Linked DNA regions of Rhinolophus ferrumequinum. The main gene of each other region encodes a partner of the protein of the gene in region 2 in a complex. Links are inferred from orthologs where the notes say so. Each region holds a gene or a part of one and is shown on either strand. Other genes may lie near its edges.

Evidence for each region.
Region 1: the proteins of FLT1 (region 2) and VEGFB are in contact, whole or in part, in a crystal structure (PDB 2XAC), measured with the Homo sapiens proteins. The link is inferred for Rhinolophus ferrumequinum from reciprocal best matches to the Homo sapiens genes FLT1 and VEGFB. Residues at the interface, in NP_002010.2 of Homo sapiens: Tyr139, Glu141, Pro143, Phe172, Pro173, Tyr199, Ile202, Gly203, Leu204, Asn219, Leu221, Arg224, Thr226; in NP_003368.1 of Homo sapiens: Ser37, Trp38, Ile39, Tyr42, Thr43, Thr46, Cys47, Gln48, Pro83, Asp84, Asp85, Gly86, Leu87, Cys124, Arg125, Pro126.

What each region holds. Positions count from the first base shown.
Region 1 is NC_046294.1:7,180,435-7,187,439, forward strand, and holds VEGFB (vascular endothelial growth factor B), read right to left. Parts: upstream 3,005-7,005; 5' UTR 2,887-3,004; coding exon 2,818-2,886; intron 2,661-2,817; coding exon 2,618-2,660; intron 2,294-2,617; coding exon 2,097-2,293; intron 1,915-2,096; coding exon 1,841-1,914; intron 1,646-1,840; coding exon 1,610-1,645; intron 1,369-1,609; coding exon 1,155-1,368; coding exon of another isoform or gene 1,133-1,154; intron 511-1,132; coding exon of another isoform or gene 489-510; 3' UTR 66-488; downstream 1-65. Other genes in the region: DNAJC4 (dnaJ homolog subfamily C member 4), read right to left, coding at 3,929-4,037, 4,130-4,216, 4,883-5,047, 5,129-5,313, 5,738-5,831, 6,492-6,610. UniProt on the Homo sapiens protein: Growth factor for endothelial cells. VEGF-B167 binds heparin and neuropilin-1 whereas the binding to neuropilin-1 of VEGF-B186 is regulated by proteolysis.
Region 2 is NC_046287.1:100,321,741-100,328,943, forward strand, and holds the start of FLT1 (vascular endothelial growth factor receptor 1), read right to left. Parts: upstream 3,011-7,203; 5' UTR 2,597-3,010; coding exon 2,533-2,596; intron 1-2,532. UniProt on the Homo sapiens protein: Tyrosine-protein kinase that acts as a cell-surface receptor for VEGFA, VEGFB and PGF, and plays an essential role in the development of embryonic vasculature, the regulation of angiogenesis, cell survival, cell migration, macrophage function, chemotaxis, and cancer cell invasion.

The DNA of each region.
Region 1 (7,005 bases), on a different chromosome or scaffold from region 2:
TGTGATGCAGACATTCATGCCTAAATCAGCCAACCTGGACAATGACAAACAGGGACACAGGCAGGGACAGCTCCTTCCATCTCTTTTATCAGGGTTGGGGGGAGGGTCACAGTTGTCACACCGAGGCCCAACTCCCATTATTTGCAGAGGATCAGGGTCTTCTTAGGGGAGGGAGGGGCCACTCGTAAGATGCTCCCTTGCACAGGGTGGTTAAACAATGAGACAGGACCCCATTCTCTCCCAAGTTGGTATGCGACCCTTCTTGCTGCCTGCAAGTCTCCTCATCCAACTCTGCCCTTCCTGTTGGATGGCAGCCTTGCAGAGACAAGGGATGGCCAGAAAGCCCTGAGAAGCCCAGGTCCTGGAGCAGCTTCCGCCTGGGCTGAGGTCTTGAGGGGCTGGGATGCTCTCACCAGGCTGCCCTCTAGTCCCCCTCTGGGGTGTGGCCTATGAGGCAAGTGGCCCTGCTGAGTCTGAAAAGCAATGTGTCACCTTCGCAGCTTCCGGCACCTAAGGAGGGGAGGAGGAAGGGGGTCTGGTTATGCTGCCACAGCTCAGCACCTGCTCCTCTGGACTCACCCCTTTACCTCCTGTGAACCCCATTCTCTCCTAACATTCCTGGGAAGCCCCAACTGGCCTGGCCCACGTGATGCACCCATGGCCTCGTTGTGGAAGGGAGGGGTGGTGAGAAGCCCTTGGACAAGAGTGGACAGGTTACACTATGTCCCCTAGCCTCTCAGAGCCCACAAGGTAGGACAAATGTCTACCACAGGGGCTTCTCGGAAGGCCCAGAGCTTTGCAAATTGGAAAGTTGTCTCTCTTGTTTCTACTCCAGGCACATGTCACCTCCTCCAGGACATCTCTGACCTCGTAAAGACGATGTCAAGTGCCCCGTACCATAGGCCTCAATAGCCTCTGCCAGCATCATGTGTCCTTGTGTCTGACTTCCGCATTTGATAGAACGTGTGCCTTGTGTATGCCAATCCCAGTGCCCACAGACACTTGGTAAATATTTGTTCAACACATTCAACAGTTTCCCCTACCCTGGCTCTTCTCCCACTGGTAGACTTACCCTGGACATGCTCCAGGACTTGCTGCCTTCCCAAACAACTGCCATCCCACAACTACTCACCTGCAGGTGTCTGGGTTGAGCTCTAAGCCCCGCCCTTGGCAACGGAGGAAGCTGCGGCGTCGGCAGCGGCAGCGGCAGGTCCTGGGGTCAGGGCGCTGGCGGCGCTGGGTGCAGCGTGGGCAGAGGGGCCTGGGGCTGGAGTGGGATGAGTGATGTCAGCTGGGGAGGGTGCTCCGGGGGAAGAGTCCCAGCCCGGAACAGAGCGGGGCTGGGGACGGTGGTGGGGAGTGGCAGCCCTAGGAGGAGAAGCAACATGTCTGGGGCGGGAAGGAAGTCTTCCCCGGAAGGAGCTGAGGTCAGGTCAGAGCATACAGACTGGAGAGCAAAGAAAAAGGCAGAGGGGGGCACAAGTGGGAGGACAAAGGGGAGGGGACCACACCTGACACACTCGTACAGCCCCCACCCCACCCACAGGTTACATCCTGGGCACTGGGCCTGGTCTCCAACCCCACCTCAGCAGGAGGCCAAGAGACTCACCTGTCCGGCTTCACAGCACTCTCTTTTTTTTTTGGTCTGAAAAGTAAGAGAGACCGACAGAGACAAAGAGGAGGAGGATCAGGAAGGCCCAGCATCCTACTCTGTTGCCCCAGATCCCAGGCCTACTCTGGCTCCACCCTCAAAATCCTGGTCCCCACTGCGGTATCCCACCACGCCCAGCACCCCCGAAGCCTGGTCTCTGCGAGCTCAGACGTGGGGCCTGGCTGGCACCTGCATTCACACTGGCTGTGTTCTTCCAGGGACATTTCCCCCAGCTGACTGCTCGGGTACCGGATCATAAGGATCTGCACTCAGAAAAATGGAGAAAGACAATGAGAGAGAGAGAGGGGGGAAGAGAAGGGGACACTCCATGGGCTGGAGGGAGGACAGCTCGCCCACCAGCCAGGGCCCTGGCCATCACCCCTGCAGCCCCCAGAGCGCCAGCATCCGTCCACCCCAGCCAGGCATGCACGACTTGCCCCAGTACCTGCATTCGGACTTGGTGCTGCCCAGTAGGCACGCACTCTAGGCCGTCGTCAGGGCAGCAGCCACCGCAGCGCTGCACAGTCACACAGCTGGGCACCAGTTGCTTGGCCACGGTGCCCATGAGCTCCACAGTCAGGGGCACCACCACCTCTCGCGGCTGGCAGGTGGCACGAGCATACACATCTATCCATGACACCACTGAGGACACATGTATAAGGGTTAAGTCCCCACTGGGTGTCCTGCAGCTGTTCCCTGGCTCCCCTACCCCTGTGCCCAGCAGCTGTTTTCCCTAGTTCCTGTGTCACGGCCACCCTCCACTAGCCCCACCTTCTGCCCTCCCACCCTGCCTTCCCCTACCCTCTTCATCTAGAACCCGGGAACCCCACTGCCTCAATCTCCACTTCTGGGAAATGGGCAGATTATTAAGAGTTTGCATCTTACAGAGCAGTTGTGGTTACACAAGATGATGGACACATAACATACCTTCTCAGTGCTGGCTAGAGAAGTTATTGTTACTATTACCTTTCTTCTGGTGGCCAGGGACATCAGGCTGGGAGACAGGAACCTGTAGGAGAGAAGAGAGCTGGACCCAAGGTGCACTCTAGTTAGGGCTAGCCCTGTCACTATTCCCAAGGCTCTGTCTAACCTTGCAGTTAGAAGGTTTCAACTCCTCTCTGACATTTTTCCAGATTGCTCTATTTCTGGGTCCACTCTAGCTTTACCTGTCCTCTCCTGGCCACCAGGGACCTGCCCCCGGCCAGGACCCTCCAGCTGAGCTCTGTCGGCGTCATGGAACCTCTAAGCCTGGGGACCAGGCTTGTTCCAGTGGCCACAGGTCAGAAGGGAGCACAGTGGGAGCCGAACTAGGTCCTTCGGGCACTCAGGAGGCTCCGCCCCTGGCTGCGCCCAGGGGATGGGGTGGGGCGGGGGAGTGGCCCCGGGACTGGGTTGGCGGGCCAGTGGGGAGGGACATCTCCCGGGGGATGCCCTGGTCAGACTCCTGCAACACCACCGTCCGCGGTCCGACCCGCAGATCCCCTCCGCGGAGGCCTCTCAGCGCCTCCCCACTTCCGCCAACCTTGAGAGAGGGCACGGCAGGCGGGCGGGATGTCGGGGACGCACGTACCTGGGCGGGGGCCAGCTGCAGGAGCGCGGCGAGCAGCAGGCGGCGGAGCAGGGGGCTCATGGTGCCCGCGGGGGCCGCGCGCCGGGGGCGCCCGCATCGCCCTAGCCCGGCGGCGCCGGGGGCGGTGGCAGCCAGAGCCCCATGGCGCGGGCCCGGGCGCGGCGGTCGGGGGCCGGGCGCGGGGGGCGGCTTCTCCGCAGCCCCCTCCCGAGCCCTGGGCGCAGGCAGCGCAGCGCAGCGGCGGCGGCCGTTGGAGCCGGGCGGCCCGTGGCGGCGGCGAGCGGCGGGCGGTGGAGGCAGCGGGGACGGCGGGGGCGGCAGGGGGCCGGGCCCGGGCTGGCGGGCGGGCGGCTCATGTGACCCAGACACGGGCTCCCCACCGGGCCGTGGGGCAGAGGCGGGGCGGGGGCCGGAGGGGGGGGCGAGGCCGCCGGCGGGCCCGCCCCCTCCACACACCCCCTCCCTCCGCAGCAGGGGAAAGGGGACGCACCGCCCAAGGGGCCGGGCTCCTGGGTCGCTGCCGCCAGAACCCGGAGGGCGGGGCGCTGTCCCACGGCGAGGCCGGGGATGGAGGGGTGGGGGAGAGGGGGGTGCTGGGGCTGAAGGAGTGAAGCGGACACGAGCGCAGAGAACCACTTTATTGCATGCATTTTGGGGAGTGGAGAGTCCCGGGAGGAAACACAGCAGGCCCCATTCAGGTGAGCTGCTCACGGGCTGGTGCCTGGGGGCACTGTCCCTGGGCCTGGGGGAGGCCCCGGTGGTGGCTGCAGCTGCTGCCTCTGCTTTTGCTCCTGCTGGAGCCTGGCTCTGTTGGCCCTGCAGGAGAGAGCATCGGGGTGGCTGGGACAGGGATCCTGGAAGGTGGTGCTGGGACAGTGAAGAGAGGGCAGGGTAGAGCAGGGACAGACCTGGCCCGGGCCCGTGTATCATTGTAGATGGCTGTGATGATCCGATCCTTTTCATCCATGAAGCTACGGTGCATCTGCTCCAGCTTCCTGCATGGGGGTTACAATTAACCCTGGGTCCCCCAAACCCTGCTGTCCTCCAAGTCTCACCCCCTGCACCCTACTCTAGGGTCTCACAGCTTTACATCTGCAAGGACCTCAGCCTAACTGCCTGTGCTAGGCAGGGAGAGGGACACATAGAGGGTCCAATGGCGACCCAAATCCCCCAGCTGTTCAGCACTGAACATCAGGATGGTCCTCACAGATTTGAAAGAGTTGTGCGTACAACTCCATCACTGAACTAGGCAGGCTGCTAGCAGTGGGCATTGCACTGCCTTTAAGTATCTTTGCTGTAGAACCTGTTATGACATGCATGAGAGAGGGGCGGGGTGACAGTTGGCTGCCAAACAAGTGAAAACAGTTGCTGGTGAGGCCTTGTTACAAAGCATTTCTTTCTTTTGCATGATTTTGGTTGGCTCTGCCACTCCATGGCAGCCAGCACCAAAGATTTACTTTCAAATTATTTTAAAAAACCCTGAAAACGACACTAGCCCTTAGAGCAGCGCTGTCTTTGCTAAATGAGCAAATGCTCCGGAGATGTATTTCATGCAATTCTTAGCTGGAGAGACACAAGTGCAAGCGACAGGGGTGGTGGGATGGCTGGCTGACCACACTGGGCTTTACCCCCCTGCCCCTCTCCCCCCAGCAGGGATGCACCTGAAAGCAACATAGTGCAGGCCCATGCCTGCCAACATGATCAGGAGGCAGTACCCCATCACCCGCTGGTTGTGTCTGTGCTGCTGCTGCCTCGATTCTGGTCCCTGAGGCCTCACGCCATGAAACTGGGCCCAGTATTGTGCATTGGGGGCTGTCCAGGAGCTGCTGGGAGGGAGAAGGGGCAGTGTGGGGATGAGGCTCCCTAAAAGATTTGGTGGGGGGCAAGCTAGCAGCAAGATACAGTACCTGTGTGTTTGATGAGCAGACCTGGGATGGGCTGTGGTTCCTGGAGACTTTGGGGGAGTTGTGCAGCGAAGCTGGTGGTCATAGTTGCGGCGACTCTGCTCCCGGCTAAGCACTTGATACGCTTCACTCAGCTCCACAAAGCGGCTGTGCAGGGCCGGGTTCCCAGGGTCCCGGTCAGGGTGCAGCTGGGGTGGGGCAGGACTCCCCTCATCTCCTTTCCCATGTCTCTTCCCAGGACCCATCTTGATAATGTCCACCCACAAGGGCTCAAATCATTCCCAGAGGCCCTGTCTGGGCAGCGACCCTCACCCTCGGGCCAGCCACCCCTCCAAAGGGGTGGCTGCTTGGCTCTCACTGTTTGCGCTGGTCCATGCTTTCTCAAGAGCCGATAGGTCAAGAGAACCAAGCCCAGCCCATCAGACAGCACACCCCTGGCTTTCCTCTGGCCGGGCCAGACATCTGCTCTTGGGGTGCTCCCCTTCCACATGCGTGCTGATGGAATGTGGCACCAGCTAGAGTGAACTACTCAGCTCCATTCCTGGGAATTTGGAGTGCATCCCGTCTGGCTCAGACTTCCCCTCCCACTTCCCTTCCTAGGACCACTGGTACCTCTTTGGACTTGGAGAAGAAAGCTCGTTTAATTTGTTCAGGGCTGGCACCAGGATGCACCCCCAACAGTTCATAGTAGTTACTGGGGCCAGACCTGTGGAGAGAGGCTGGAACTTGCAGGGACTAAGGAAACAGAGGATACCACTTCCCTACCCTTCCTAGCCCCCCTGGGCTACACCCTTCAACTCAGCAACCAGTAGCTGAGGGGACTGAGGCAGGTACCAAGGGAGATCTATCTCCAAATCATCCCTCCTTTCGGAGTGTTTTGGGAATGGTGCAGATCAGAACATCTCAAAGTGTAGTCCTCATCAGACTCCTTGTGTCAGAAACACCTAAAAAGCTTGTTTAAAAAAAACAGATTCCTGAGTCCAACCTCATAGCTGCAGCTCAGAAGCTCCAGAGCAGGGCCCAGGAATCTGCATTTTTGTAAGGACCACCCCACCCCGTGGGTTATGCACAGTGATGTTGGACAACCACAGGAGTTGTGGAAAACACACTGGGTTTGGCTTGGGCTCAAACTCCAGGTTTGCCACTTAACTCACTGTATAACCTTGGTGGTTGTCCCTTCATCTCTGATCCTGTCCTCAGCAGTGAAGGTGAAGTTTACCTGAGACAAGCCTGTAAGGCACCTGACACAGAATAGAGAGATCACAACTACCTCAGTACCTAGGGCAGGGCCTAGAGCTGAGCACGCCCTCAACAAAAACCCGCTGAACTACAGGGCCGACACCGGGCCCCCAAAGACCGAACTCACCGCTGCCGAGTGGCCTCTGCGAAGAGCCGGGTGGGAGGGCTGCGGGGCCACAGCCGGCATAGGCGCAGGGGCAGCATGGCGGCAGGCGGGCAGCTGGTGAAAGGCCACAAAGAATGCATTGGGACCAAACTTCAAGCACTCCGGGGGCAGAGCGAAGGGGCCATTTACTTGCGAAAGAAAATTGAAGCAGGCCCAGGGGACAGAGGGGCAGGTGGGGCCTCCTTGCTCAAAACCAGACCCCAGTATCTTGGACCTGTCCTACCCCTGACCCAGGCCCTTCTTCACGCTGGCGTCTGTGTCTGGACACCCAGCCCCCGGCCGGGAGACCCCCTGCCCCACTCTGGGAGCTAGGGTGGCGGGCAAAGGAGGAGCCACACCAAGCCCCGCCCCCGCTGCACTCACGGACTCCGCGGTTGCCACCATTTCCTACGCCGACTCAGGTCCACCCGCACATTCTCATTGGCTTAGAAACTCAGGCCACGCCCACCTAGCCAGAAAGTGCGATGAAGGCCCT
Region 2 (7,203 bases):
TTTATTACATTCAATTTGGAAATGGGTATTATTTTCATGTAATTGTTATTTAACTTTATGTTATTCATGTAGACTTCCCTCCCAAAATTTCCAAGTGCAGCATTTCCAATTAGTTATAGCAAATTGTAAATGTTAGCTGCTCAAAGATGCAGGGAAAATTGGGACAGAAAAAAAGGGTCTGTGGCTTTAGTGTAGGACGTGGTGGTGCCTTAGAAGTAAGAAAATGAGGCTTTGGAGAAAAGGGGCTTTTTTTTTTTTTTTTAAGAGGAAGATTGCAATATAGACGTGTTGCAAATAGCTAAATTATTGGCATCTTTTTATTTCCCAGGGTGTTTGGAAGAAGGTACATATACTCCTTGGGGGAAATGCATTATCCTTTTGTATTACTGAACCTCTGGTTATTTTATCTTGCAATGCACACATGCACATCACCCCCCACCCCGGCCCCCACCCCCCCATACACAGTAATAATAACTGATAAATCTGCAAAGTCTGTGAGCAGACCCTGGCCCAGGATGGATGCAGGCGGAACTCCTGATATATCCACAGGACAGAAACTTGGCCCCTTTTGGGCCCCCCTCCCCAGAGCTGCGGCCCTTGGGTTCAGTTCAAAAGCCCTGATATGGTTTAGAAAGTCAGTAGCGACTGTTTCGCCGATTGTTTCACCGTAAGATGTCTGTTCACCAGACGGAGAAGCCTGTGGTTTAAGAAGGCAGGCTTTGAAATTACCAATGCCATCCGCTGATGGAACGGTCCCCAAACCGGCAGGTAAAGGGGTTCTCACCTTGTCAGTGTTTTGTCTTGCTTTCTTCCTATAACACATGTGTAAATTTTGTTTAATCACAAGAGTTCCAAGATTTCTGCCTCATTTAAGTAAAATAAAATCTAAGAGTAATCACAAGAGGATCTCACGTTTCTGAAAAGCCTCCACCGATCTCAGTAGCCCCTAATAGAGAACTATACTTCACTAGTCAACCACAGCTTTGAAACAAAGATAAAGTTATATCTGTGCGAAGCAGAAAATCTAATAAAACATATATTCTTCCCTCCATTCTTCGGATTTACGGCAATAACCTAGATTTACCTTTATGTAACAGACAGATGGACTTTAGCAAGTTATTTAAACGCTCTAAGCAATTGTATCAAAAAAAGTGACTTTCAAAACAAAAATGTAGTTTTGAATTAGAAAAGCAACATTTAATTTAATATAGTTGTTTTAGCAACTTTCCCCACTTACAGCGAGTTCTCAGAATTACTTCACCTTGCTTCTAGGTTTAATGGTTTCACCAATCTAGTTGGCACTATTGCTTGTTATTTAGAAACTGATGGTCTAATTAGTTTTCCCACTGTGAAAGACTGTTTGACTGTTACAGCCTTTGGAATTTAACAAGAATTTTTTAAAACAAAATACGCTCAACCCTACTGACTTTCTTTCCCGGGATCATTGCAATTATTTATTTTATTTTATGCTACTGTCTTTCATGTCATATTTCACCTTTTCTCCATGATGGTTAACAGAAAGGCGCTCCGAAATCTGGCTCTCTGTGCCCACGGGGCCGAACCAAAAGGCTCGGCCACTCTGTCCCGCTAGGCAGAGCCTCGAGTCCGAGCTCCGAAATCCCCGCGGGCTGTGGCGCCTCCTCGCTGGGGCGGCTTCCAACCTAATCGCTGTGCGACCTTCTGGCCCCGAAGGTTCTGCTGCCTGTTTCCCTAACACCCAGGAAAGGGGCGGACCTCACTCGTTCCTCAAAGGCATCTTTTGGTCCAAATCGTCGGCCCTTTCTTCTTTCGGAATTTAAAGGCTAGATTTGCAATTCCGAAACTTAACGGCATTCGGGTTCCCGACTGGCCTCGTTGGTCAGGTTCACTCAGGTCCGCGACCTGGGCAGGCTGCGCGCTCCGGCCCCGCGGTGGGAGAAACGCGGGAGGAGTGGACGCTCGTAGGACATCCCGGGGACAGTCGGGCTCGGGGACCCGAAGTGAGTCGAAAGATACCAGCTCTTGCCATCTCCGGGGTTTTGTCTGCTCCCGGCAAACAAGCGAACGCCTCCAGGAGGGCTCTCCTCCTTCCCTCTCGAGGCGCGACGTCGTGGCCTGTGCCCAACATCGCCACCGTGGGGCCTCAGCCCAGCCCCCCGGCGGCCTCACGGGAGTTCTGAGCGCCGCGGCTCTAGGCTCCGGAGGGCCCGGGGACCCGCTCCAGGCCTTCTGGAAGCAGGTCTGGGGGTCAGGCAGATCCGGGTGCGCGGCGCTCCCCGAGCACGGAGCCAGGCAGAACGGATCAACGACTTCAGCCGCCAAGCGGCTGGAGCCCAGCGCTGTCCCGGGCGGCGATGCCCGCGGGTCCCGCCTGCTGCTCTCCGAGGCGCGCACCCTGACCACCCAGCGGAGGAGAAGGGCGCCACGGCCCCAGGCGTGCCCAATGCGACGCGTGTCCCAGGTTCCCGCTGAGGCTCGCCTCCCCGAGGGCCCCCGGCCCCGGCCACCAGGGTGTGCCCCTGCCGCCCCATCACGGCCCGGGTCGCGCCCTACCTGTGAGAAGCAGACCGCCGAGCAGCGCGCACAGCAGGACGCCGGTGTCCCAGCAGCTGACCATGGTGAGCGCGACGCGGCCTGCTCGCCCGGTGCCCGCGCTCCTGACGGGAGACCTATCCAGCCGCCGGAAACTGTCTTCTTGCTCTCGGCGGCCGCTGGCCCTGCGCTCTGGCTGCGCGCCCCGGGCGCCACTATCCGCGGCTCCAGCCAGGAAGACGGCCACTTGCCGGGTAATCCTCGCAGCTCCGCGTGCTTGGCCGCTGCGCTCCAGTCCGGGAACTCGCTGCGAGCCGGAGCCGCCGCCGCCGCCGCCGCCGCCGCCGCCGCCGGGGAAGAGCCGCGAGGAGTGTCCGGCGGGCGCGCTCCGAGACTCCAGCGGACCTTGCTGAAGAGCAGCTGAGGGCGGGGGCCATTTATAACCTTTCCACAGCCCACTTCCTACCCCGGCACCTCCTTCCAGTGACGTCAAGGGGTCCCCCACCCCTCATCCGCCTCCCCACCTACCCTCTTCCTCCGGGACCTGATTCCCTAAGGCTACAGAGAGGGGCGGGGGCCGCCGGGGGCGGGGGGCCGGGGCTGAGCGCTCCGCGGGGCGGAGAGCGCGCGTGCTCTGGGAGGCGCTGGAGACGCGTCCCGGGAGCGCAGCCCCGGGCAGGTTCAGGGTCCGCGCTCCCGTCTCTCCTGCCCCCGTCCCTCCTCCTGCCCCCGTCCCTCCTCCTGCCCTTAGTGCTCAGGAAATCCTTGCAGTCTCCCTCCACCCGGTTTACTCAGCCCTGGGGGCCGCCCGAAGCTGGGAAGGGGACAGGACTGCAGCTCCACCGCCCGCCCCCTGGGCGGAAAGTCCGATCCACGGGAAGCTGGCCGCGCCCCCGAGACGGTGTTCTTGGCACCAAGGAGTGAGGCGCAGTCCGACTCCCTTCTCGTCCTTGCCCTTCCCGCCTGTCCAGCTGCCCCCCAGCTCCCTGACTGTACCCAGACGTCTAGGAAGGCGCCGGAAACCTTCGGAACCGGGGACTGGAATGGGAGCGCCGGAGGGCACCGGACGCTTGCCTGGCACCTTCTGGAAGACCGCGAACCGGCTCTGGTCCCTGGGGAGTGCGTCTGTGTCTTTTTCGGCCACAGATGCTCCCGCCCAAGTCGTTTCCTAAACCCGCCGCTTCCTAGAAGAAAAACAAGGCTTAGTATCGTGATACCTTTTTAAAAGCTGAGGCGTGAAACTGCTCCTACAACTTGTAAGGGCCGACCTGGCACGTGAACTTTATTTCCTAAATGCTCGAAAAAAATCTTTCTGATGGGAGCTTGTTACGCAAGACGATTGACTGCTGGTCTTCGAAAAAAACCAAGTGAAATAAACTTGAGCCACTAGATCATTTGCGATGGCACCAATTCCACTTTGTTCTTTAATTTTGTCCGCATGACCTCAAAGGCTGGAAGCGTCCTGGGCTCCACTGAGCAGCTCAGCCTTCTCTCTGTAAATACCGCCGCCTTGAAAAATAGTTCTACTGGAACCTGCAGATGGTCAAGATAAAAGGAATTGTGATGACTCCTAAACGGGGCCAGCGACTCTTCCAGAAGGACTGGACTACCTCCCCGTATGGGAAGATTGGGCAACTCGAACTTGCCACACCTCTCTGCACTGTAGAACAAGGACAGGTCCTTGCCACCCTCCGCCCCACGCAGGAAACGCGTGTCCGCGCACCTGGCGCCGGGGCGCCTGAGCCACAGTCCCTCGTGGTTCAAAAGGAAGCAAGACGCGCGAGGTCATTGCTAGCCCGCGGGCTTCATCACCCTTTTCCATTTTCGCAGTGCTCCTCACCGCGCTCCCTGGCCGTTTTACTCTGCCTCGCCCGAGCCTGATTTCTCCAAAACCACAGGCTCATTCCTTGAAAGTAAACACGGAACGCAGGGATGGAAGCTGACAGCGGATCCTTCTCGAACCTGGTCCCCCAGCCCAGGTCACAGTCTGGGACTCACCCGAGAGAGAGCCTCACTTCAGAGCCCCGTGTCACTGCCCCCATCCCTCCGAAGGAGAAGCCGTCAGCATTGCCCTTCTGCCACCTCCTATGGACCAGGCATTGTGTTAGAGCCAAAAAACACTGATGGGAAGATCTCATCTCTGCCTTCTAAGGACGGGGCTTAGAATCTGGGAAGGAAGTTGGCACGGAAAGGGGCCAAGACAGCATAGTGTCAGGATCACAGGGCTGGGGGCGGGGGCGGGGGCGGGGATGGGTGGGGGAGGTTCGGGTTTGCTATGGGCACAGAGAAGAGGTGGTCTGTCCGGTCTGGAGGACTCAGGGGGGATTCTCAGGAGAGACCCTTAGCTGACCCTGGGGGGAAAGTGGTCCATAGCACAACCTACAAAAGTTTAATACAACTTTTCAAATGCGATTTGATTTTTAAAAAACTCTCCCAATACCCTCTTCAGAAAGGAATGTAAAGACTTCGTTTGTGAAGCCGGAACAGGTCATTGTTGAACGGCTGAAACAGGTTTCATAATCTCAGATGCCAGTCAACAATTTATTGCTCAATTATTTAAGGTTAAAAGAGTCATGGTTGAATGACTTAATTTACCCCAAAATCATTTTGCATCGAGTGGTCCTTCACAAATCCCCCAACTATTCTTTTGAAAAGTTGCAGGCTTTAATGATAGCAATTTCTTTACGACTTCTTCTTTTGTTAGTCGCATTAGCTTCCTCACAAGAATTCAACATGCTACAGGTTGTCACCAGGTTTGCTCATGATTTCATTTTAGCTTAGATAAATTTTAGCATTGAGATAAATGAACATCTAAATTAAAATGATGAGAAAGAAAGGTATGACTCTCAACCCTCTCCCTCGCTCCACTAAAAGAGATAATACATTTGAATAAGAATGGGCTACAGTACTCTCCAACTAAATCACTAACGAAGAGGTTTTATAGATAGTGGAGATGGAAAAGATCTATTTCAACATGCCTGGTGCATATAAAAAGCTATTGAAGTGGACTATCTACTTCCTTCCTGCCCACACACAAAGAACATTTCATCTCCTGCAAAACCAGACACTCTCTCTTGTTATCAGCTATAAACATTCTCTGAGGATTCTTTCTAGTCCCTATTCAGAGGCACACTCTTGGTAAAACCAACAGTTTTAATGTTCAAGACGGAATAATAGTGTGGGAGCATCAGTGTGGGAGACAAGAGAGAACCCAGGGCCTCATCTTCCTGCAGCGGACCATGTGTGGAAGGGCTCAGCTTGCAGTCACTGGGGCTCAATCAGGAATCTCATCCCCACATGGGCTAGGTAGCTTCAGACCAAAGGAAAAAATAACATCTGTGGCTACACGCTGCATAGCATAAGTATGTGTGGTTGGCCACGGCAACCAAATGATCTCATAAAACCCTGCTGTGTTATATGAAAAGAACACCTCACAAGACATAGCCACACGACATGACAGTTCAGGCTGCTTGGAGGAAGCACATACAGACCTGGTGTGGCAAGCACTGCGGATGGAGTTCCTCGGGGGCCATCTCTTTTCTGCCTCTCCCCCACCCCCACACCTCACTCTGGTCCCAACTACCTGTTCCTCACCTGTTAGTGCTTATCTCACTTTTTTTTTAAATAAATTTTATTGGGAAATATTGGGGAACAGTGTGTTTCTCTCCAGGGCCCATCAGCCATTGTCCTTCAATCTAGTTGTGGAGGGCGCAGCTCAGCTCCAAGTCCAGTCGCCATTTTCAATCTTTAGTTGCAGGGGGCGCAGCCCACCATCCCATGTGGGAATCGAACTGGCAACCTTGTTATTGAGAGCTCACGCTCTAACCAACTGAGCCACCCGGCCGCTCTTGCTTATCTCACGTTGATTTATTCAGGGTTCCAGCTCTTTTGAGGCTGTGTGTCCCAGTGCTGGACTCCTAGTTAGCTCGTATCTCCTTCTGCTCCCCAGGGGCTGTGACATAGACACTGTGCTTCTGTTACTGCAACCTAAGATCAAAGAAGCCTTTTCTGTCGGCTACTTCAGACCCTGCACTCTTAGGGAACCTACTCTGGGTTAACACCCGGAGGCTTTTTCACAAGAGCTGTACAGCCCTGGCTTTGACAACTCAAATCGCAGACCCTTATACACCCTTTTATTAAACTTCTTATTTGATTTAGTCCATCTTTCTGGCCTGTTTGAAATCTTTCTGATCTCCAATTCTGCCATTTAGTGCATATTCTATATCTCTTGCTTCAAATTATCCACAAATAGGATAAGTGTGCCATTTGGGTCGTCATCAAAATCATTAAGGAGGAGAGAGATGAATGAATGAATGAATGAATGAATGAATGAATGAATGAATGAATGGATTTAAAGAGGTTGAGGAAACCAAAGTATTCCTTTGTCAAGGGAGGGCTGCATATTAACTCGTTAGTATTTACCATGTCATTATTAGGAATAACTGATGGTCTGAACAAGAGTTAATAAGACAGGTAAGTTTTATTCAAGGTATTCTAGGAAAGTAAAAACAAAAAAAACAAAAATCCAGACTGATATCAGTAAAGAAGATTGGGGCAGGAGAAAGGCAAAACAGAGAAGGGAATACTAAGGGAAAAATAGTCGGCTAAAGAAATCTGCGTAAGTGTCATCTAATCATGATAATTAACAAGTTTGCCAAAGGTGAATTTTATCTCAGTATATAACTGTCAGCT